4 linked regions of the Solanum lycopersicum genome follow. Each later gene encodes a partner of the first gene's protein in a complex. Links are inferred from orthologs where the notes say so. Each region holds a gene or a part of one and is shown in the gene's direction. Other genes may lie near its edges.

Region 1 (6,228 bases):
TTATGAAGCAACACTGCTTGCTGGGCTCAATAACATGGGCTTGTAACCCAAGTGGGGGCATTAGTGTGGTGGAATGTTGGGCTGGTCATCCAAATGGTTGGGCTTATATCTGGCCTGCCCTATCGAAGTACAGAGTTGGGCCTTGTGGTCCAATCGAAGGAGTGGGCTGCTATTTCCTAAAGCGGAACGGACTGCGTGAGGTTGGTTTCACAGAGCAACGAATAGTTCCTGCTCTAAGCGTTGGAAGGATAGCACGTCGATGCCTTCCGAGTCCCAGAATCGTCAGATGGGCTGCTCCACTTTTTGGTCTATAAAACCATTTTTTCATTCGAATGTATTTTGAATCTCCCTAGTGAGAATTCTAATTTCGACGATATCTTTTCTTCCATAGAAAAACAACTTATATCTAAGAGATGTTAATGTTTTGAGTAAATATTTCATGTACCCAAATGTGGCAACCAACGAGTAAATTACTACTTTATGAAAATGCTTCTCAAGGAAATAATTACCACAATAAATCTAAAAATATTTACTCCATATTCATATTTGCTTGAGCTTCACGTGTATCATAATTTAAATTCGTTTATATCTTTTATCTTGGTTTTCACCCATTTAATTTCCCAAATACTAACTACGTAGATGTTACTCTTCTCGAGAATTTTCACTTATTCTCAATCGAAGACGTGGCCTTGATTTACTATCCAGTTCCTAAATGCAAGTTAGAGTGAAGCAAAATTATTAATGAGAACAAAAAAGGCAAGAAACAAACAAATATCTAGTACTAATTAAATCAAGTAACACAACAAACTAATAAATCAAAATATATTAATGATAAAATCAAACTTTATATTTTCAAAATAGTATATGCTTTGTTTATAGAGAACAAGCAATATTCCAATTCCCACATCGTTAGTGGACATATTTCTTTTTATTTTTATAATAATCTATGATGCAATATTGTATGTCGAGCTTAGTAACGTGGGCTTGTAACCCAAGTGGGGATGTTAAGGTGGTGGAATATTGGGCTGTCCCAGATGGCTGGGCTTGGTGGGCTAATTTCTGGCCTGCCCTATCCAAGCACAGAGTTGGATCATGTGGTCCAATTGAAAGAATGGGCTACTAGATTCCTAAAGTGGGGTGGACCGCGTGAGGCTGGTTTCACAGAGCAACGAAAAACTTCCGCTTTGTGCAGTGGAAGGATAACGGACCGGTGCCTTCCAAGTTCCATTAATGCCTGATGGGCTGCTCCAATTAAACCACCACTTTTTTTCCGATATAGTGACTCATGAACTTCTCAATTTTGCTGGTTTTGTAAACGGGACTTATGATTTATATCGTTATCGGTGCCTTCCAAGTTCCATTAATGCCTGATGGGCTGCTCCAATTAAACCACCACTTTTTTTCCGATATAGTGACTCATGAACTTCTCAATTTTGCTGGTTTTGTAAACGGGACTTATGATTTATAAGATATAGCGAGTAATGAACTTCTCTAGGTTTAATCTTCCAAGTTTTGAAAATGGAACTTATACTCCCATCGACATGTTATGTAGGACTTACGTCTATACCTTATAAGATATAATTTGTGACTTTATGAACTTTTTAAGGTATAATGTTTTGAAATTGAACTTATGTCTACAGAGGCATAAGTTTTGTATGACATAACATATGCCTTACGATTGTATTTTCAAAGACTATTGATCCGACGAACAAAAATTAAAAGCCACCCTATTTTGAGTATTCATATGAACGACTATATGATTTTACTTCAGTGAAATGATATGGTATGTGTTGTTTATCTCATCAAAATTTCAACACAATATGTTATCGAGTACTTATTCAGGAGCAAAGCTAGGTAGGACCAAAAGGATTCGTTCGAATCACTTTCAGCGATTCATTGTTTATAAATAATTAAAATTATTTCTTAATTTTCTAAATATTTAATATTTCACTTTTTTTACTCATCCAAAAAAATAAAAAGTAGAAATTAATTAAATACCGGACGACACCGTTTTGGTTCCACCCTTAAAAGAATCTCATTTGATATATATTTGTGGCGCAAAACACTTGTGCAGATACACAGAGCAACAATGGCGTTTCTTACTGGAAAAATCTCTACTTTACCCTTCAAATTTTACACTGTTTCATCTTCTTCACAACAACAAGGTTTTGTTTCTCTCCATTTCTACATTCACTGAACAAAATCCTCTTAGAGGAACTTTTTTTTACAAAAAATGACAAACTTTTGCTATGAGTTTTTTTTTTAAAAAAAATTGAAACTTTGTGTGTTGATGTTGTTTGAATTACTCAACAGATGCAAACCAAAACCTGAAATCAGTGAAAATTAGAGAAGATTGGAGGAAAAAATCTCGACCTATTCCTCCTGGTGGGACTTATCCAGCTAAAGACCACTGCAGGTTCATAATTCTGCTTTTTTTTTTCTTAATATAATTGAAATTTTAGCTTTTAATGCTGTAATGGGAGGTAAATTGCGTAGCTTGATCATTTTTCTATGTATTTTTTTTTTGAAGTTTTTAGTTTTTGTAAGTTAGACTAGTGAAAAAGTTGTTATTTTTATTTGTTATCTTTAAACTATGACATAAATACATAGATAGATATCTTAGGTTGGGCTCAATTGGCAACTGAACACTCAAAGTGTGCATCTTAACTGGTCTTGGCTGTGTGAGTTAAACACTCCCAACGTACAAAATGATCATCTAGACATATAGTGCCGGGTGTCTCGGAGACCGTCTAGATGTGCATTCTTAAAGTTGGAGTATTTAGTTGTTAGTTAAGCAAAGTTAAGGTGTCTATTTATGAATCACTCCCTCTCCGTCCAATATTGTTTGTCATGTTGTGTTTTTTGAAAGTCAATTTGACTAATTTTCAAAGTTAAATTAAATCACATTAATTCGATATTTTAAACAAAATAATTAGATATTTTAAAACTATATGAAAAGTACTATAAATTGCAATTTTTTGCATATTAATACGATGAAAAAATACACCTTAAAATGTTAGTCAAAGTTTTTATAGTTTGACTCTATGAATAGACACCATGACAAACAATACCGGACGGAGAGAGTGTCTTAAACTAATATGTGTTTGAAGAGTTCTCCCTTTTCGGAAACTATAATGGTTCAATTTTCATAGTAAATGTGAAAGAACTATAAATATGAGGGAGATTGGGCATTAATTTGGCATGAAGTATAAAAAAGAACCTGAAGTATTCAATTTGAAATGGAGGAAGCATTTCATTGGGTCTTTGAAGCATCGTAGCTTTCCATATCAATTCGTCCTAAGTTGGGTCAAATTTTGTAGAATGGAAAAAAAAGGAGCTTGAATGATGAAGTATTGTTTGGAAGACTGAAATATAAGTTTTGACGTTCACAAGAATATCATATATATTAATTAGCATTTTTTTTGAAATTGGTAAATAATAATTAACATTATTTATATACTAATTCAATGTTTTTGAGGATTATAAGTTAGTATCATTTAATCACTCATCTTCATACTTATTTAAATTAATTTCTTGTATATTTTGTGACTATTTCGTAATCATTATAGTAGTTTTTTGTCTGATGGTAGTTTTTGTTTCTGGTTTGCAGCCACTGTGGTTTGTGTGACACTTACTACATTGCTCATGTGAATAATGCATGTGCTTTCTTGGGGGATGGCATGTCTAGAGTTGAAGTGAGTCTTTCTCTACTTTAGTACATGTAGATACTGTTGCTTTTAGTTGCAGTTCTTATTGTTTATGCCTAGTTTTTGTTCCTTAAGTTTGTCATAAATGACCTACTGGAGTTTGATTATTGCATGCTTTCATTGTCACATGCAGATTTTCCCTGTGAATTTTGTTTTGTCTTTTGTGTCCTTTGAAAAGCTATCTCATCCATATGGATTTACATCTTATGAATATGTACAGTGTATGCAGTGAAACAAGACTTGGCTGTGATATTGCAGTGTGTTGTGGAAGTCATAAGAAAAGTTTGCAAGCTAGAAAGATGCTCAGAGAGAGTACTGGTTCATGTTCTCTGAGACCGTGTAATCCACTATTAGCTCGTGTGCAATTGAATTCATCTTTCTTTGGTCACTCCACTTCCATTAAAATCCCTTCTGTTGGGAGCATGAGAGTTTTTAACACTTTGTTATTAGGAAAAGTTGCATACTAGAACTTGATGGGTTCACTGGTCCTCGCCTCCGACCCCAACTAGTTCTTTTGACAAGCATGTTTGAATTTTATATTTCTGTTTCACTCTCTTGGGTAAAAGGTATGCTGCTTTGAATGTTGACAAGATATGGAATAAATGAAGTTTTAGGCATTATTATAGAGCTATAAATTACACAAGGTACAAGACACGTATAGTGGATCTTCATAAGAATGATTTCTCTAGTTGTTAACATAATCTCGACATACTGAAATTTATGGGGTTGATAATGTTATACTGAAACACAGTATGGTCGGACTCTAATCAGACTCCTCATAGGGCGATGGGAAAACATTCATAGACCTCCATCAAAGTCTTCGCTATGGTGTACATCTGTCCTCTTCTCTTTTCTCTTTTCTTTGTTTTTTCTACCTTCTGTTTAATAATTTCATACAGCTTAGCATAGTTTACAGGTACAACGTAATCTCGTGACAGGTCAAACTTTTTTCCCCAATTCTATACAATTTTTTTTTTTTTTTGGTTATTGTCCAAAGGAACTTGGTAAAGTTTGAAAATTATTCCGTCTTTAGTTTGACTGGTGGGTGGAGGGTGACAGGGGGTGCATGTAAGTTCTTTTATGAGAAAGAATGATTTGATTACTCACTAAAAAACTTCAGTGCTTGCTACGAGTAGCAGTTCCTTGGAATGCGTTCTCAACTCAGTCATGCTATGCTATTAGGACCTTCTCTTTTGGTCAAATTTATATGAAGTAGCTCAAAGTACAGATAGTATTTCTTATGGTAAAGTGACCAGATGATGTTGACTGTTCCTTATCATCTTCTTTAGGCTTTGGAACCTATTGTCCATGGACGAGGACGGAAAGAAGATTCCTTGGATGAGATTTATATGGGGGTGTATGAGAATCTATTGTATGCTCGTAAAACTAAGCCTGTGGAAGGTACAACTTTGGATGCTCTTATGTAGTATTCTAGTTCAATTTACTGTTGCTTGTTTTCTTGTGCTCTCTAGATCACTAAAAGAATGTGCCAATTTCTATGAATCATCTGGTCATATTCCTATCTTTTTCTTTCTGGCATTCAGGAGCTCAATGGACGGGGATAGTGACAACTATTGCCGTGGAGATGCTAAAAGCTGGGATGGTGGAAGCTGTTATTTGTGTTCAGAGGTATGGCTTGCATCCAATTTGGTTAAAAATAATTTAGTTCTCCCTCCTGGTTAATTTCACTGTACATGAGTTATGCACTTGAAATTTTGGTTTCTTTCTTCTACTTATTACCCAGCAATTCATGGACTCTTTACCTTCTTTTTTTTATGTTGTTTAGTGATCCAGAAGATCGATTTGCTCCTCGACCTGTCCTGGCAAGGTTTGTGACTGGGAATTCCTGAGCTATTTGTATTCATGTTGATTTTTTACCTGTTAATTTAACCATTTCGATCTTCAACTTTAATTTTATGTTTCTAATAGGACTCCAGAGGAAGTTATAGCAGCTAAAGGTGTTAAGCCGACACTGTCTCCTAATCTAAATACTCTTGCCTTAGTTGAGGTTTCTTCTTTCACTTCCATTATCATCAGAATCTTTGATTGTTCTGTTGTCATCAATGCATTTATAATCTGTGTAACTCTATTGAATTCTTAATGGAGCATGTTGTCATGGATTGAAGATGCCATATCTCTCCTCAATAGGTAATTGGAACTTGTGTAGCTATGCTTTCTTATTCTTCACCACACCACCAAATTAGCTTTACTATCACCCCCCCTCCCCCCGTCAGACCACCACAATCTAATACTGTAATTGCCCCAATCGGGGATTTTATTAAGATAAGCTCTTTTGATTTTCTGATTTGTTCCATATTATGGTTCGAGCTGAATTCCTTTCCTGACAATTTCAGAGTCTTTTTGCCAAATTTTTCCTCTCTATCCATTTGAAGGTCGTAGGTTATTTTTTGACTTTATTTTAACTATTTGAGCTTATTTCTCCCCAAATGCTTTCTCCCTTTCTTTTGGTAAGCATCAACCATCTGCATATCACACTTGTAAGGGTAGGCTTCTTGTTATT
Region 2 (6,095 bases), on another chromosome or scaffold:
AATACCGTTCTTTGGAGCGGCACAACGTATATATTCACTATTTTCTTCGTCTACTAAGTCGTGTAAATTTTTAAAATATGGTGTACCTACTTTAACTCTTAAATCATTGTCACAAACACGATAAGAAAGTCGTACTGAAAGTGTTAAAGCAATAAGATTTTATACTTTACAAATAAGAGATGCTTTATTTAAATTATAAGAAGTTAGTGATGATCCAAAAATTAAAAGTGAAGTTAATTGTTTATCAATTTTTGAGCTTGAAATTTTTGAATTTGTATTGGGTGCGACTATTTGGTATGATGTATTACTACTGTAAATTCAATTAACAAAAGTTTACAATCAAAAGATATAAATATTGATGTCTCTATAGATCAATCAAGAGGTTTAATTTCTTTTTTTAAAACATATAGAGAAGAAAGATTTACAAGTGTTATAATTTCGGTCAAGAAAATTGCATTAGAGATGAATATAGAACTTGAATTTCGTAAGAAACGTATAGTTTACAGAAGAAAACAATTTGATGAAATATTGATAATGAAATCACAAGATCTCTTGAATAATCATTTAGAGTTGATAACTTCTTATACATAATAGACTAAACCATTTTTTCACTTCAAAATAGATATGAACAATTTGAAGTATATATTAATATTTTTTGTTTTCTATTTAGTGGGAAAAATTAAGATCATTAGATGTCGAGAATTTAAAAAAAATTGTCTTAATCTTGAATGTTCCTTAAAATATAATACTTATTTTGATATTGAATTATTTTTTGAATTAAAAGTATTAAGGAAAAAACATACAAATAAAAGACAATATTCTAAACGAGATACTCAATCAAATAAAAAGACTTGATTCTTTTCCAAATGCTTATATTGCTTATAAAATCATTTGAACAAATCCTGCAACAGTTGTCTCAATAGAAAGAAGTTTTTCAAAATTTAAAACAATAAAATCTTATATAAGATCAACAATGTCTAAAAATAATTAAGTGGATTGACTATATTATCGATTGAAAAATAATTACTAGAATAGATTGACTACACAAAATTTTTTTAACAACTTTGCATCTAAGAAAAACTAGAAAAATAGATTTAAAATAAAAACATATATAATTTTTTTAAAAAAATTAAGGCCTCTAGTTTAATTTTGGCCTTAGGCCACCAAGGATTTGAGTCGCCTTATATATGGGCCATTTGGCTCCTTTAGGTTTGCATGGTATTTGGATTTATCCCATGTTATCTATATTTTACGAAAAATTATGCGATTAAGCAAACTTATACAGCTTAATTACTCATTATAGTTATAGTTTGCTATAATTACCACATGCGACTAACATTAACCATTAATTATGTGGGCTGACTTCGAGTTGTATAATTAGTCACGTTTGTATAATTATCCACATTCGTATAATTCACAACTAACAATTCTTTGTTTGATTTATATTTCTATACGATGATTTGTATTTGCATATGAGATAATTTCCTTTGGTTTCTCAGTTTTGTCACTTTATATATTCAATCTTTTTGTGTATAGCTTTCAAAAGTTTGTATAAACGTGCACTTTTTTTTTATAATATAATTTATTTAATGTAACTATTTAAAGTCAATAAATGTATATTTATATCAATTCGTTATTTTGAGGTGTTTTTTTTCATATTTGTATAATTTTAAACTTAATATTGCTCAATCATGCAAAAACACGGAATTATACAAAGGTACCCACGAATTATACAAACGAGATGCGAATATACAAATTATTGCCCTCTCTCACTTGCCTCTCTCCTCCCTCTCCCGATCTCGCTTGATTCTCTCCTCTCTCTCCCAATCTTGCTCGTCTCTCTCCTCCCTCTCACAACCTAGCTCGCTTCTCTCCTCCTTCTCCCAATCTTACTTGTCATATATACAAAACCTATATGAATAATATTCAATTATCTAACCAATATACATACACAATTTACCTCTATCCCATTTCTACCCTCTCTCCTCCATCTCTCAATCTCGCTCATCTCTCTCCCTCCTCTCTCAATCTCGCTTGCCATATATAGAAATACATATGTATAATACACAATTATCTACCTGATATACATGTGTAATTCACCTCTCACTCTCTCGCTCGTATCTCTTATCCCTCTCTCAATCTCTCTCGTCACTCTCTTTCTCTATAACATATAGCTACGAATTGTAATTAACAAATTATAACTATGAAGCATAATTAGGCTATTTTTGAGTGAATATATGCAAAGTTCCTTTTTATATTATGGACCAATTCAAGTTTTTTAAAACTATAGTTATAAATTTGATAAAATATAATAATTTTCATAGATATAATTGATAAATTAAGAAATGCATTAATTTAAAGTCAAAATAAATTCATATTGCGAGAACAATCATTATATGAGATACAAACCGTTTAAAAAATCATGATAGAAATTATAAATTTTATTTACATATGAAATAAATGACTGGTATATATATATATATATATTGTATTTTTAAAAATCAGAATTTTGAATTAGGATTTAAAATACAAAAATTTGATTAAAATAACCATGTTTAAGATATGTTTAATCAAATTTTTGTATTTTAAATCCTAATTCAAAATTCTGATTTTTAAAAATACAAACGACAGCGTATTACATGGGCCACAGCACGTGATGTTCGTTTGCTTCCCAAAAAGCAAAGAGATAGCAGTGAACATGACAGTCCTCCTGCTATGGCTGTTCCACTCTCCTCTGCCAAATTTCACACTTCAATTCTCACACAATCACTCCCCTCTTCTTCCTCTCGTTCTTTTTCCGTCGGAAAACGCTTCTGTTGCTCGTCGTCATCAACTTCCATGGAACATCATGAATCGAAATTTAAGGAATTTCCTTATGCATCTGTTCCGCATAGAGAGTTAATGGTGGAACTTGTATCGACTGTGGAGAATCGTCTTGGAGAGTCTCTACTTCCTTGTACTCTGCCTTCTCATGTGCAGTATTTTGAGAATGAATCTGCTACTGCTCATGCTTCTCTCTATGTCAGATCTGGAAATTCCTCTTCTCAGGTACTCTCCGACTACCTCCTCAATTGATTCTACTATTTATTACCTATTCATTCGTTTTTGCAGTTGTGTCAATTATATGTAGTATGATATAGAATTACTTCCTGTTGGATGTTTTGTTGAATTAGTATATACAGGGTGAATAACAAATCTATGGACAAAGAAATTGATTTTCATAATAATAAAGTGTGATACCAATAGTTTAGAACCCTTATTTTCAAGGAAAAGTTTGTCTTGGGACTTAATGACGACACTGAAGTGCACATTAAGCGAAGTGGTCAACATGTGTAAGCCTTGCTTCAAGGCTTGAGCATGCATAAAGTATGCAACCAAAAAAAAAACGCCAAGAATTTTCTCCTAATGCCCTTCAATATGAATGAATACACTACTATCTTGTACATAGTGAAGTTGATAAAGAAAACAAGAAAATTATTATGTACTATAGAATAATGATTGAGAAAGCTAGATCTTGTCATCTTATTTTAGTGGATTTGGCTTATGCAGAAGAGTTAATCCATTACGCATTGTGCTTTTTGTAGATTGTCCTTTTTACTATGTATGCTAATTCTTTTAATAGAAGTAACATGAATTGAAATGCCAAATACTTATCTGTATAATGTGGTGATGGGAGTTAAGAAGATCAGCAAATGTATTTTTGGTTTTATTCACCCAATGAAGTCAGACAAGATTTTTATCAAATCTGTTTCCTTTGAGCTAATTTCAAATTGAGTATTTCTTGTTCAAGCTATATATCTTGCACTTTCTAGTAAATAACAATCCATTCGTTACAATTAAAAAATATATAACAAACAAAATTCGTGAATGTGCTGCAAACTCCCACTAATATTTTAATAGTTTGCAGTTTGTTCTGTGAAATACATCTCAACTAGTTTTTCTGTGATCTTGTCAAAGTAGTTTGATCTCTGCTTGTTCCCCATTCCCTAGCTTCAGGAGCTGTAGGGGGAAAATTCATATGATCTGCAATCTCACCTTCTCACCATTACCATTCCCAACTTCAATATCTGGCGGCACTGAGTTTCCCATCTGAATAGGTGCTGAGGTAAGTTGTGAACTAGTATCCAATCTGGAACAATAGAAGTTTCTTGCTCTGGTTTAAAATTCTGTGCACATCTCAGGATTTCATAGTGTATGACCGACCCAATGTGAATGAATGACTTGAAAAAATGTTATTGAAGTCTGTTTTGTTACAGAAAGTCAATGTAAATAGTGTTGTAGTTGTAGTACCCAATCTCGACTCTTCCTTTCAATTGAAATTGACTCACAAAAATTTTCCTTAGTTCTTTCATAGTAGGTTCCTTTGATAAATTTACCCACAATAGTCATTTGCAATTATTAGCCAAATTCACGAAATAGTCATCAGCAGAGAAATATATGGTTGGCTTTCCGAGATGAGTCTCATGCCTAATTTCAACAGGAGCTTCGGCGATTGAGGCATTGGCAAATCAGCTTGAACCTTTCTGTGAAGGTTGGTTTCGATGAAGTAGCACCCTTTTACCTTTCCCTGCTAAATTGGGATGTTTCTGTTGGAGTTGAATATTGGGGTTCTGATTTATCAGTGGCAACAGGGTTATGATCAGTTCCATTGATGTTGGTCGCGTCATCCGATTTCAATTTTGAAGAGGGTGTGTGAAATCTGAGGACACCTTTGGCTGAGGGGTTAAATGATTTTGGTGGGTGGATTTTGAATGGGTAGTATTTTCCTGTTGAGGTGTTGCATGCGTGATCTGCAAAAGAGTAGGCTGAGTGTTAATAGCAAGTTGGAGGTTCTGGTGAACTGTTAGGGGCAAGCTTTAGGAGTTTATTATTGTCCATGTGTTGTTCCTCTGAAGGATTGGAAGAAATAGGGGATGATGTTTATTGGTGTTGTGGTTGTTGGTGCTAGAAGGAGTTGATTATTGTGTGTTTGGGATTTTTCGGCTGGATTGGTTCAAACTAACCATTGGGGGTTGTAGGAGAGCGGGTGCGTTTTACTGAGTTGTCGGTGTAGGAGAGACTGCAGTTGGTTGAGATGAGTATGGATTGAATGTATAACTAGTGTTTTAGGTGGGTTCCGATGCACAATTGGTGTTTGCTGAAAAGATCAATAGATCTTCATAGAGAGAAGCTAAGAGAGTGTGCATCCAAAATTGACCAACCAATGTAACTGCTCGATTTCAAGAATTATCCTTGTTCATAATTTGTAGTTCTCTGCAAGTTGCATTCACCTGATGTCTTCTTGGGGAGTTATACATAAGGACTGCAAAAGCATCAGGGAGATAGCAATTTGGATCTGGCTTCTGTTCATTTATTCTTATCCAGTTCCATTCCTCCGCTTATAGTTAGTCATTCCATTGAGAGTTCTTTGACAAGTCCATTTAGTGTTCTTTTTCTAATGCCTATAATAAAAGATGAACTGGGAACACACAGTTAACGATTTCAACTTTCTCATCAGGAGTATAAGCAAGGTTAATATTTTTGCCTATTCTAAATTGTGACAGGTTGATTTCATACTTGGTAGTTGGGTTCACTGCAACTTACCCACCGGCGGAGCATTGAATATTACAAGCCTTTCCGTATATTTGAGACCTTCAACTGATGCACCAAACTTCTTAATTGAAGTTATTCAAAGCAGTCCAACAACTCTCATCCTCATTCTTGATCTACCTCCGCGAAAGGACCTTGTCCAACATCCCGATTACCTCAAGACCTTTTATGAGGAAACACAATTAGATAAGCAGAGACAACTTCTCGAGAAGCTACCTGAGGTAAAGCCTTATTTCTCTTCTTCTCTATATATTCGTGCCCTTGTCTCTCCATCAGCTATCTTGGTTTCGATAGAAACCGATCCTTCCCAGGCCATTCGCATTGATGAAATTATTCAGGATCACATAAGTCCTGTTGCTAAGGTAATGCTGGATACATGGTTGAATCTGTGTGCTTGTACTGAGAGAAGATTGACAGATGATGAAAGTAAAGATCTGGCTAAGAGGGATCAAATAATTAAGAATAAGACTATCGAGATAGATCTTGAATCAAGCTTCCCTAGGCTT
Region 3 (6,111 bases), on another chromosome or scaffold:
CACGGAACAGCCAAGCAGCTCACCACAACTCCAAAAACTTCAAGCCGGACTCAATTTGCTCCACGAGATGTGCTCCTACTTGGAATCGAATCTGCACCACAAGGAGTGCAACAAGCGTAGTATGAGTACGAAACCACGTATACCCAGTATGTCTCATTGACCGACAACGAAGAAGTAGTGGCGGGAGTTTATACAAAAAATTAAATTTGTAAATTATATAAGTACATATATATATATATATATATATATATATATATATATTACACTCACTATTTAGGTTCCATCAATAAAGGTAATCAAACATCAAGAATTTTCCAAACACCAAACAAAACACATAATCATCAAAATAAATGATGTGATGAAATAAAATGCAATGTAACACCATGTAATGAATTGTCTCAGAATACCCAATACACACTCAACCGTATATACATGATACTCCTCGGAAATACATTGAGAGTTCATGACCCATGGGGGACTCGCGAGGTCCATATACCGACACGGACGATCTCCACGTGTCTGTGCGGACGATCTCAACGCACTATCATAATATCAAACAATTTTCACACGGACGGTCTCCATGTGCCCAAATTACAATCTTAACATCTCACCATCCCCAGCACGGACGATCTCCACGTGCCCAACTTATACTCAGTCTCATGTCTATGCATGTGCACAATATTATTTCAAAAGAGGGGATGATGATGCATCTCAATCAATCAATATGAACATAATACATAACCACCTCAATTATCACAACTATACGGGTGAAATAAATAAAGCACAATCACACAAGGAATTCAAGTCAATAATATATCAGCTAATGCCCATATGCTTTGGCATTCTCAAATTTTAATCCACATTCTATAATAGAAATTTTCCTTTTTATAACACCGGTACTCGTACCAATGCCCGTCACACCATTGATACGAGACCACCACTTTTTCCCCCTTACTCCATTGTCTATTTTCATTTTTAATCTTTAATTAGGAAAACGTCCTTCAACAAGTCTAAAAAGTCTTAACATACCTTAGATGCCGAGCTTGTGCCACGAATCTTTTAAGATTTTTCCTTTCCTTTTCGCAAGGTTTCGGAACGTTCCCAATCTACCAATTTTTCAATATTCGTAAGTAAGCAATTTTTTTGTAGACATTCAAATTATTATATGTCTATCATAGACGCTAAAACTCACACATATTTTCAACAAACTCCAAATCTTGATATATATTGGTATGCCAATTTTTTTTCACACTTGCTAAATTTCAAGCCAAGAACTTAACTCTAACCTCTTCAAATGGACTAAAACTCAATGTTAGATCATATAAAATAACACCTAATAATTAATTACCAGTCCCAATATATTAAAAACTAGCATTTTAATATATGAATACACGTGAACAAAATTTCCACCCATTGGCAGAAGTGGAACGCCCCTCCCCTTTTCCCGTTTTTTTGTGCTATTTGTTCTGCATGCCAATTAAAGCATTCCCCCATTGTTGGTACCTTTAAATTCTGAGGTGTGAGTATACCCACCCGACCTGAGCATAACTCCAAGAAGACAACCTCTGGTTTCAAGAAATTGATCACTGCCTTAACTTCTTGGCAGGATTCCGAAGAAACGTGAGCAGTGCTAACAACATACACATCGCGAATGCCTCCATTGGCAGAAGATTGGTTTTTTTTTCCACATCTCCACCAATTCTCCCATTATCAATATAGCATAGAATAATAATACAATCCCAAACACTCCGACAATATATTACTATATATAGAATTGAAAAGAACGAATATCTCATATCTTTACCTGAACAATGGCTGTGATTTTCTCCCTCTCGCTGGTAGCCTGTGATAAGGTTTCGCCTCCTTACTTTTCGTTTTTTCTTTTCTTCTAAATAAGAAATTATTAATCGTGAAACTCCACTAATCTATTATCTAATTATTTATTTAATAAAAGTTTCATCAATTAGGTACTCATAGTTATCTAAAAGCTTAAAAATAACCCTTTAAATTTTCAAAAGGAGCCAAACTAGTCCTACTTCTCAAAACGACCTAGCGGGTAGTTACAATAACAATATAGGAATACAATAAAATTTCTAATTATAAACAATAAAATAAATTAATAGGGTAAATATGTAATTTGTCACTTTAATACATGTATAAATAATACCCGCATAACTTATTTTACTTTCTACCTTACATAACTTTATACATAGATTCCCTCATAAGTTATGTTGATATAAATTATATAAAACTACAAAAATGCAACCAAACATGATATAAGTTATGTTGACTTTTCTACCTAAACAAGAATTTCTACTAAATATTGCATAACTTAATACATTATTTTATACATGAACAAGAGACAAGTTATACCATAACCAAACAGTGTTGAAAAATCACTCAAAATGTGATAATGTTAAATGCCCAAACAAGTAGGTACATAGCTACCACAATGGATCATATTATCTTAGAAATATACATACAGAATTCATGAATAAACTCAAATAGACAATTCACTTGCGTATTTGATTTTTGTTAAACACATTAGAATTGAAGTTTTGATTATTTTTGAAACACAAGTGGGAGAAGGAGATAATGTTGACGGTAATATATATGCGGACCTACAATGACACGTAGCAGATGAAACGTGTAGATAAAGAGTAGCTTTAACGTGTGGTCATCAACTTGGTTTCCCTTTGATCTTTCAAAAATCAAATTCCTTCCAACTCCTTAGATATTTTCTTTTTGTAGTAGACTAGATCCGAGAAAATTTCAAGTCACACAATCCAAATCCCTAAAAATTTGGATATTTATATCTCTTTCCTTGCATATATATAAAATTCATATAGATCTTTGTAAAACAAAACAAAAAGTGCACCATTTTTCTTTTTTATTTTTATTAAAATAATAAATGGACATGGTGGCGAAGGTACACGTGTCAACGCACCACCTACTACCGAGCAGTAATGTTTTCCGGCCTTCGATTGTGAAGGTTCATGGACGACGTAGAGTTTTTGTACAACCTTGCAGGAGCTTTAAGTCTGATGATGCTGAGTATGTGAAGGTGAACAAGTTGGTTGGAGCTATTAGGTCTGCTGTATGGAGTTGTTCAAAGCCAAGTTTGAGAACTGAAAATAAGCTTAGAGAAGCTATGGAGATGTTGGAAGAGAGATTATTCTGGGTACATATGTTTCTTACACATCTTTAACATCAATTGAGAATGGGAAAAAGTTAAATTTGTATTCCAATCTTGCAGTTGGCTTTATATGTTGGAAGATATATTATAACAATGATGAGCACAGGTGTTGTCATGTTCGTTGGGTTTCAGTTGTCAGGTTAGCAAATTCATTTATCATCTTTTGAAAGTTTTTAAGGCATGGATTGATTGGTAACAACTAATTCTAATTGTTACAGGTGGAGATAGCCAGATGAATGAATTGATATGGTACAGCTGGCTTGGAGGAATTATTATCGGCACTATGATAGGATCCAATTTAGTTTTGGATGATGTTGCTCGAGCTGGCCCCCGTAATGTCCTTATAACTGGAAGGTATAATACTTTACTCATACCTTCATTGTTTGTAATTACCATTTTAATTATTTTTTGGTGCAGTACAAGGGGACTAGGGAAAGCTCTTGCCCGCGAATTCTTACTTTCTGGAGATCGGGTCATTGTTACCTCCCGCAGGTAATTAATTGATTATTTGCATCCACTTATTTTGTTTAGCATCTCTTGTAAATACATCATTCCTTAACACAGCCCGGCATCTGTCCGTTTGACTATCGAGGAGCTTGAGGAAAATCTGAAGGAAGCTGTCAATGCTGCCACCGGCTCTGCTAGACTAAAGTTGGCACATGCAAAACTGGTTGGTATGGCTTGTGACGTCTCTGAACCTGTTGATGTTAAAGAACTGGGCAAGTTTGCTGCAGATGAACTTGGTTATATTGACATTTGGGTGAGTAATTTTCTTTTTCTTCATAGCAAAAGACCACCACAACAACAATATACCCCGTCAAATCCTACAAAGTGGGGTTTGGGAGGGTAGAGTGAGTGTACACAGACTTGGACTTTACCACTACCTCGAGGAGGTAGAGAGACTGTCTCGAGAAGACCCTAGACTCAAGAGCATTAAACCCAAGTAAAAGGAGAGAAAATATTGGAAGTGTCAAGAGAAAAACAATAACAGTAGGATAATCAAAATACAATACACAACATATGACAAGAACTACAGGGTTGTGAGTAGAAAATACAGTCATCCACATCCAGAGGACTTGTGAGGAAAAACAGCCTCTTTCCTGGTTTGTTGTTCTGTTTTCATGCTTCTAAAGGTTGTCTTTTATATAGGTAAACAATGCTGGGACAAACAAAGGCTTTCGACCCTTGCTGGAGTTCACCGACAATGATATTCAAGAGGTATCCATGTTGTTGACAGTTCTCATATGTTTATGTTGATACTCTACAACTTCTTCCATTTCTAAACTCTTGCAAAATAATTGCTTTCAAGGCTGCATATATAATAGAAGATGGATCGGGGGTGGGTCGGTATTAGGGTGGGGTATATTAAATTGTCAAGTAAGAGCTGCTTTTGTTGTTTTCCCCCCTCTCTTGTGGAAGGGTGGGTGGTGTATGCACTGTGGGTTTTCTAACTGTTCAGTTGCAGAACTTTGTTAACAAATTATTTTCCCCGTCCCCCCAACACCTATATGTAGTTTGTATACTTTATATACCAGGTCACTCATTTTAACTTTCCGTTTTCCTGGAATTATCCATCAATATGTACTAATGCCTTCTTTTAACTACTACTTGAAAATTTCCCCGTTTCGTCATGCATAGCAAGGTGTTCATGCTTGTTGACCTTTTCAAGTTAACACTCCATGTGCATATAATAATCAACTATCTGCTGTGTGTACTTGCATGATGGGTAAGCTAATATTCTAGTAAGTATTTCTGGTCTGTTGCTTACCAAATTTTTTTATACAGATTGTCTCAACAAACCTGATTGGTTCTATACTATGCACTAAAGAAGCCATCCAAATCATGAAAACCCAAAGCGAAGGTGGACATGTCTTTAATATGGATGGTGCAGGTTCTGGAGGATCTAGCACCCCTCTAACAGCTGTGTAAGTTGATTGTTGTGGTTGTAACTTGGAATGCTAGGTTATCTATTGTAAATAGCAGATCTTTACCATTTATTCATCTAATACTTTTCTAATGGATATTGATTTCGGTGTTATCATCTTTACTGTTCTGCAGCTATGGGTCTACAAAATGTGGTCTCAGGCAGCTTCAATCATCCCTACTGAAGGAGTGCAAGCGGTCAAAAGTTGGAGTGCATACGGCGTCTCCAGGCATGGTCCTAACCGACCTACTTCTGAGGTATGTGAAGAGGATCATCGGATCTTTGCACTTAAATGTCTTTTGCGTTGCTTTCATGGACAATGTATTGCTGTAGAAGGATAACTCTGTCCGGTTTGGTATTATTTCTGGTAGTGCTACCAAGGAGGACTAGTTATCCACACCATTCAGCGGTACATAAAGACTACAGTAATGTTAGAACAGAGATTCTTACCTCTTATATAATTCTCTTTTCTGGTGTGCAAGGAAGGATGAAAATTTCAACTTCTTTTTTTGTTATAGTAATCAATTGTGATCACTTCTTCTAATCCTTCCATAATGGTAAAACTGGAGCCTAATTTAGTGATCTCCCTTTTATACTCGATCTCCAATGCCTACAATTACATATAATGGGTGGTTTTGGCTGAATTTGAGTGGGTCAAAATGGCTTGAGTTAATAAATGGGTGGGTTATTGACCCACCCAAAATGTTACTTGCTATGGATTGGACTGAAATGGGTCAAAATGCGGGTATCCAACCAATCCAATTCTTATTAAGTTTTAATGCTTTGTTTGTTCTTTAAAATTGTTTCTTTTTTTGGACTTTATAAAACTAGTTTTCCTTTATTACGACTATACATAACATATCAAATTTAGAAAGAGTCTTTTTGAAAATATGTTGACAAGATTGCTCATGAGTCAATTTATGCTACATATCAATGCAATAGAAATTGGGCTGAAATTGGTTGGTTGTGCTAATAAATGGTCGGGTCAATA
Region 4 (5,550 bases), on another chromosome or scaffold:
TATGCTAAAACTCAGCCATGTTTTTGTGTAATCACTGGAAGACATGACTTTGTATTAGATAAGGATATAATATGTTCAATCTCCTGTTAATTGGCAACTTTAAAAGAATTCTTTACCTTCTAGCAAAACCATTATATTTGTAGCTAATAGCATGTGCTCATGGATTATATTTCAATCTGCCTACTTTGTTTCCCGAAGTGGACACATGGATATAAAACAAGTCACTCTGAAATATACAGCTGTTTCTCTATTTGTTTTCACTTAACTGCAGATGTCTAGAATTGACGTTATTTTATTATTTCAGGAATAGGCTATGCATTAGCTAAAGAATTTCTCAAGGCAGGTGATAATGTCATCATTTGCTCCAGATCAGGTGATTTTATATCATAAGTGACAATAACATTGACTTCAATGATGTCATTAACTGATAGAATTATTGGTTTTCGCATTGTTCAGTTCCTCTCTTATATTTGTTTTATTTTATAGTTTGTGAAAAAGGTAGTCAATTGTGTAAAAATGAAATATGCAGAATATATGGTGGGATCATGGGAATCGATGTGCCATTAGTGGTGTACCATAGTTCGAGAGTCATGATGATATAGGAGGAGTTGGGATACATGTTTAGTTTAAGACCACAAAATATAAAAGTCTCTCTTATTTTCTGAACTTTGTGCTTAGTCAAATTAAGACACATAAAATGAAACGGAGGGTAAAGGTGATTACTTCCCATCTGCTTAAGGCTTGATGGACAGATTACTGAATACCTATGCTGATTGGAGTTAGCAAGTATTCAGTGGAATAGTCAAGGCACATTAAACGATTCATACACCACCGTATTGTAAAAAAAATCAAGGAAATCATATGATGTAGGTGTGTGATGTCCAATTGCTACAGTTATCAAACTCGAGTGTACTATGGCAATGAAAGATATTTCATTATTCTCCTTATTCACCAAGCAAGAGATATGATGCGCAACAGATGAACACTAACTACTTCATAGTTAGTTCCTTTTGGTTGCCACAATACTATAAGAAAGAAAATGAAATTGTAATAGGCTCAGTAGTCAGAATAACTTGGATGCTGGGATCATGTTGTTGAAAGTTTGCACTGCTCTATGGTTATTATTTTAATTAGCTTGTTGTAGTTTTCCTTCCCATCAAATAGAAGAAGAAGAAGATCGGAAACCAATATTTGTATTTGGCCTTCGTGAATTTGTACCTGCACGCTCGCCTTAGTTGCGCGGACTCTCCACTTTTGGTGCCGCTCCCGTCTTGGATTCTCCAAAAATACACTACTTTTGGCGAATCCGACACGCACCCATTGACATTTTTGAAGAGTCCGAGCAACATAGACGCTCACATAAGGGGTAAACAGAGTAGTTGGAGAAATTTTACTTTTGAGTAGTTTGTATCCACTTCTGTTAAGGATGACCGTGGTCACTTTTGGAACGAAAGCTAAGAAGCTACAGCTTGTGGGAAGAAAAAAAAAGTTGCAGGCATTGGGTTAGTGATCTCTAGAGACATTAAGTGCCATACATGCAAATTAAGGAAGTAGTGAAAGCAATGGATGCAGTTTATTAGAATAGAGATAATGGGAATCTTGCTACTTAATTGGAGATAATATGGGTTGAAAGGAGCAGAGTTTGCTGAAGTTAGAAAACAAAGGAAAGGAGGAGATCTGCTGAAGTTTGAATGGAAGATTGGGAGGGATGGCATATTCATGATCTAGTTTGATCTCTATGGAGTCATATATCAATAATTGCTGCTCTCCTACCTTGATGAGTCTTATCCGGGTCCTGAACTAACCATAATTGCAATAACATAAGACTGATGATTTTGCATGGTACCTTGATACAGTGATATTTTCTCTTTTCCATTCGTTATCTTGTAACTCATGGGGATGTATTCTCATTCTCTTTTTTATTTTATTGCTTTAAAGCTCACACTCTCTTTATGTTAGCTCTTCATCTCCCTACACTTGAATGGAAAAGAAACAACTTTCTTTGGAATATGTAGTTTAGAATTAAATGTAATTACATCTTTAGAGTTGACCATTTTTTTTGACAGATGAAAGAGTTGTATCTGCTCTCGACAGGTTAAGAGTTGAAACAGGGAAGCAGCATGTGTGGGTACCTCCATTTTCACTTCATTTCTTATAGACCTTTAGTCATTCTTTGATTCTTTCTGTGTACTCATCACTAGTTTCGTCTTCAATCAGGTTCTATGGTGATTGATGAGTATTTTATTTCGCTAATGACTAACATAACTTTGGGCTTCATGCCTACCGATTGACTTGAACTTTTGATTTCCTGAATCATGTTCTATTGAAAGGAAGGTTGTAAAGTAAAAACCAACAACAACAACAAACTCAGTGAAATACCAGAAGTGGGGTTTGGGGAGGGTAGAGTGTACGCAGGCCTTACCACTAACTCTCCATGGTAGAGACTGTTTCTGTAAGACCTTTGGTTCAAGCAAATAAAACACTAACTATAAAAAAAAACTGACAGTTAATATCAAAGCAGTTGGAGCATATCAATGCAAGGAGCCATAATAATAACAAGCTGCAGTTACCTAAACACAGTAAACCACAGATGATCTCGGATACCAAAAACCGAAGACTTAATGAATATGCTAATACTACGACCAGCACGGAGCTCTACACTTCCACCCAGAAAAATACATGAATGGGCTAGTAATAAGACAACTCCCAGCTATACCTACATACCGTCTATCCATGATCTCCATATCCTCCTATCTAAAGTCATGTCCTTGGTAAGCTGAAGATGTGCCATATTCTGCCTAATATGTAGTTTAGAATTATATATTATTATGTCTTTAAAGTAAACCAAGGGTCTGTAAATATACTTACTGGCCCTTGCAGGTGTTATGGCCTTTCTTTTACATGATTAGCTTAAGCATTATTTTTGTCTTCACATGCTTGATTCAGATCCCTATGCAGGGCACCAAGTGTGATGTTAGAGAGGGAGATGACGTGAAGAACTTAGTTGCCTTTGCGAAGGAAAAGCTTCAATACATCGACATATGGGTATCTAATCTGGATCCTTAATTTGCTTAAGATGATAAGGTCACAAACACTCTCAATGTTCTTTGTATCAGAAGTCCAGTTCCCTTTCTGATTTGATTGTAAATGTTCTCTTTTTATCCTTTCATGTCACTGCTTGTTCAAGAATTATTGTTGGTACTTAATCCATAAATTTAGTTGTTTGAACTGCTGCAAAGTCATAATAAATATTAGAGTTAATTCCTCACCCAACTTATGGAAATGACCTACGAAAGTTACTTATTCTTTTGGGACAACAAAGTCATTCAATTATCAAATCTCCTCTTAGTTCATCACAAGGGGTATTGTTTGAGGTTAATGCTTCCCAAAGCAACATCTTTGGCATGTCGTTGAGGAGGTAGGCTTCTGCGTACCTTCCTTAATCCTTATGTGATTAATAGTAGTGTTAAAGAATGTCAAAAGTTACACATTGGTGCTTAATGAGAAGGGTGTACTCTTGATAAGGTTTGAGTAATCGTCCTCCGTTTGAGCTAGCTTTTGGGTTGTGAGGTAGGACCCAACATCTAATTTAACTTGGTATCAGAGCAAGACCCATCTCACCCTATGTTGAGCCTCTAAAATTAAAAGTTGCCCACGCACCAGATGTTAAGCACTGGGCATGAGGTGAGTGTTAAAGATGAAAAAAGTTTTATATGGTGGTTAATGAGATTTGTGTACTCCTTATAATGCTTAGACAATCCTTCTCCTCCCTTTAAGCTAGCTTTTGGGGTGAGGGCTAGGTCCAAGGCCTAATTTAACAAGTAGGATAGGTTTTTCCATAGGCTTTTAGTTCCCCAATGAGTTTACTCAGTCGGGAGAACATTCCTCATTAGTCTCTCCTTCATTTATTTGGAATAATACTCATAAAGTAGAAGGCTGACTATAGTCTGCTTGACTTGCCATTTCCTTCATAGGTCACTTCTAGCTTATCCCATATTTCTTTAGCAGTTTCACCACTTGTGATCTTTTGATATTCTTCACCACTGATTGCATTATATAGTAAATATTTTCTTAAGATTATACCTGAATAATTTCCAGTCATGTATTATTTTTGTCCACCAATTTTGATAGATCAATTGCTCCTTCAATTTCTGTTGTTTTTTCCTTGCTTCCAGATTCCTTATCATCACTCTTAGTTGTAGGTATGGGAATGTCTCCCAATTTGATCACCCTCCAGACCATTACACCATATGACTTGATGTAGGTTCCCATTCTGACCTTCTAGTGTGAGAAGTACTTCCCATTGGAGTAGGGAGGCCTTGTCTGAGAGGTTCCCTCTTAAAATAAAGCTTCAACTGTAATGACTGGCAATTAAATGATGACGCAAGTTATAAAACAATAAGTAAATGACACTGGGTATTTTTATACCGGTTGGGATCCAATGTGGATTTTAGTCCAGTCCCCTTGGGTTGCAAGGGATTTTCTATGCAAGTACTTTGAATAGTTGATGAGTACAAGTCCCTCAAGGTTTAATCCTACGTCTACACTCGATCTTTTTTTCTCTTGACACAATGCCTCACCAACTATATTTTTCCTCTCTTCTCTGTTTTGATTACACAGTAAACCATTTAAGAATTACAATGCTTGTTAAGAGTAGAACAATGCACTTTGAGGAGGCTTTATACAAACGTATGTTAGTCTTTGGTCTTCAATGATTGATTATATGAGGACTGTTGTTTCATTAGCAGAGAGGGCAACCCTAAGGATTTGATCCTTGATAAGGGAAATTGATTTCCTTTCCAACAATAAGGGACAACTCATCCAAGAGGCTGCTGTTGTATTATTTTTACTAATCTTCCAAATATCTCTTTTGCCACTTCTGTAATTTCACTGGGTCTTGATTAGTACTTGATACTGCTTCCATGTGATCTCCGTGAGTCTTGCTTCTTTCCTTGGAAGTCATCTAAGATCTGCCTTTGATTAAGTCCTTGAAAATCTTCAGTAATTAATAGCTTAGACTTTCCATAATATTCCTGCATACATTAAATCATCATTAAAACCTGACCCTAACAAATGGATCTGCTTAAATGACACGAAAATTATCTTGTAAACCTAGAACATCAATCAACACCCATGAACTTGAGTTCAAGAAAATTTCACTCAACTAAATCATTCGACATTACTGTACACATGCAAAGATAATTTGACAGCCCTGTTAAATTTTCTTTATAACAGGTCCCTTTGCAGCGGTGTAGTCATGAGCACCATCTAGTTCTTTGCCAAAAATCCTAATGGCTTTGTCTTTTATTGGTGCTGGACGAATTACGAAAATTTAGGAGAAGGATTCCATGTTCATGAAATCCTGCGTTTCTCTATCATACATGTCCACCAACTTTGTGTTGTTTTTTGAAGAGTAGGGAGATTTTGGAGAATAGACTGAAGGCTAAAGGAATGGAGATGAGGGTTTGGAACAAAAGAGAATGGTTAAGTAGAAGCAAGGGAGTATGTTGTCTTATATTTTCTGCATTGAAGTTATGTGTACACAACATT

The links.
Region 2: coenzyme F420 hydrogenase_dehydrogenase beta subunit-like (region 1) and red chlorophyll catabolite reductase, chloroplastic share a complex: the UniProt entries of both Arabidopsis thaliana proteins name them as parts of the SGR1-CCE-LHCII complex. The link is inferred for Solanum lycopersicum from reciprocal best matches to the Arabidopsis thaliana genes HCAR and ACD2.
Region 3: coenzyme F420 hydrogenase_dehydrogenase beta subunit-like (region 1) and probable chlorophyll(ide) b reductase NYC1, chloroplastic share a complex: the UniProt entries of both Arabidopsis thaliana proteins name them as parts of the SGR1-CCE-LHCII complex. The link is inferred for Solanum lycopersicum from reciprocal best matches to the Arabidopsis thaliana genes HCAR and NYC1.
Region 4: coenzyme F420 hydrogenase_dehydrogenase beta subunit-like (region 1) and chlorophyll(ide) b reductase NOL, chloroplastic share a complex: the UniProt entries of both Arabidopsis thaliana proteins name them as parts of the SGR1-CCE-LHCII complex. The link is inferred for Solanum lycopersicum from reciprocal best matches to the Arabidopsis thaliana genes HCAR and NOL.

Annotation. Positions count from the first base shown.
Region 1 is NC_090808.1:67,934,828-67,941,055, reverse strand, and holds the start of coenzyme F420 hydrogenase_dehydrogenase beta subunit-like, read left to right. Parts: upstream 1-2,066; 5' UTR 2,067-2,089; coding exon 2,090-2,165; intron 2,166-2,313; coding exon 2,314-2,416; intron 2,417-3,610; coding exon 3,611-3,695; intron 3,696-3,927; exon of another isoform or gene 3,928-4,046; intron 4,047-4,996; coding exon 4,997-5,108; intron 5,109-5,251; coding exon 5,252-5,336; intron 5,337-5,493; coding exon 5,494-5,535; intron 5,536-5,636; coding exon 5,637-5,715; exon of another isoform or gene 5,716-6,228. UniProt on the Arabidopsis thaliana protein: Probable iron-sulfur flavoprotein that converts 7-hydroxymethyl chlorophyll a to chlorophyll a using ferredoxin as a reducing equivalent. Catalyzes the reduction of a hydroxymethyl group to a methyl group. Belongs to the chlorophyll catabolic enzymes (CCEs).
Region 2 is NC_090802.1:10,422,075-10,428,169, forward strand, and holds the start of red chlorophyll catabolite reductase, chloroplastic, read left to right. Parts: upstream 1-2,648; 5' UTR 2,649-2,715; coding exon 2,716-3,048; intron 3,049-5,543; coding exon 5,544-6,095. UniProt on the Arabidopsis thaliana protein: Catalyzes the key reaction of chlorophyll catabolism, porphyrin macrocycle cleavage of pheophorbide a (pheide a) to a primary fluorescent catabolite (pFCC).
Region 3 is NC_090806.1:26,307,439-26,313,549, forward strand, and holds the start of probable chlorophyll(ide) b reductase NYC1, chloroplastic, read left to right. Parts: upstream 1-2,446; 5' UTR 2,447-2,911; coding exon 2,912-3,181; intron 3,182-3,256; coding exon 3,257-3,335; intron 3,336-3,414; coding exon 3,415-3,550; intron 3,551-3,613; coding exon 3,614-3,688; intron 3,689-3,760; coding exon 3,761-3,956; intron 3,957-4,345; coding exon 4,346-4,414; intron 4,415-4,981; coding exon 4,982-5,121; intron 5,122-5,254; coding exon 5,255-5,377; intron 5,378-6,111. UniProt on the Arabidopsis thaliana protein: Involved in chlorophyll b degradation. Belongs to the chlorophyll catabolic enzymes (CCEs).
Region 4 is NC_090804.1:48,918,743-48,924,292, forward strand, and holds part of chlorophyll(ide) b reductase NOL, chloroplastic, read left to right. Parts: intron 1-304; coding exon 305-373; intron 374-2,066; coding exon 2,067-2,128; intron 2,129-2,946; coding exon 2,947-3,045; intron 3,046-5,550. UniProt on the Arabidopsis thaliana protein: Required for chlorophyll b degradation. Chlorophyll b, chlorophyllide b, pheophorbide b and pheophytin b can be used as substrates. Belongs to the chlorophyll catabolic enzymes (CCEs).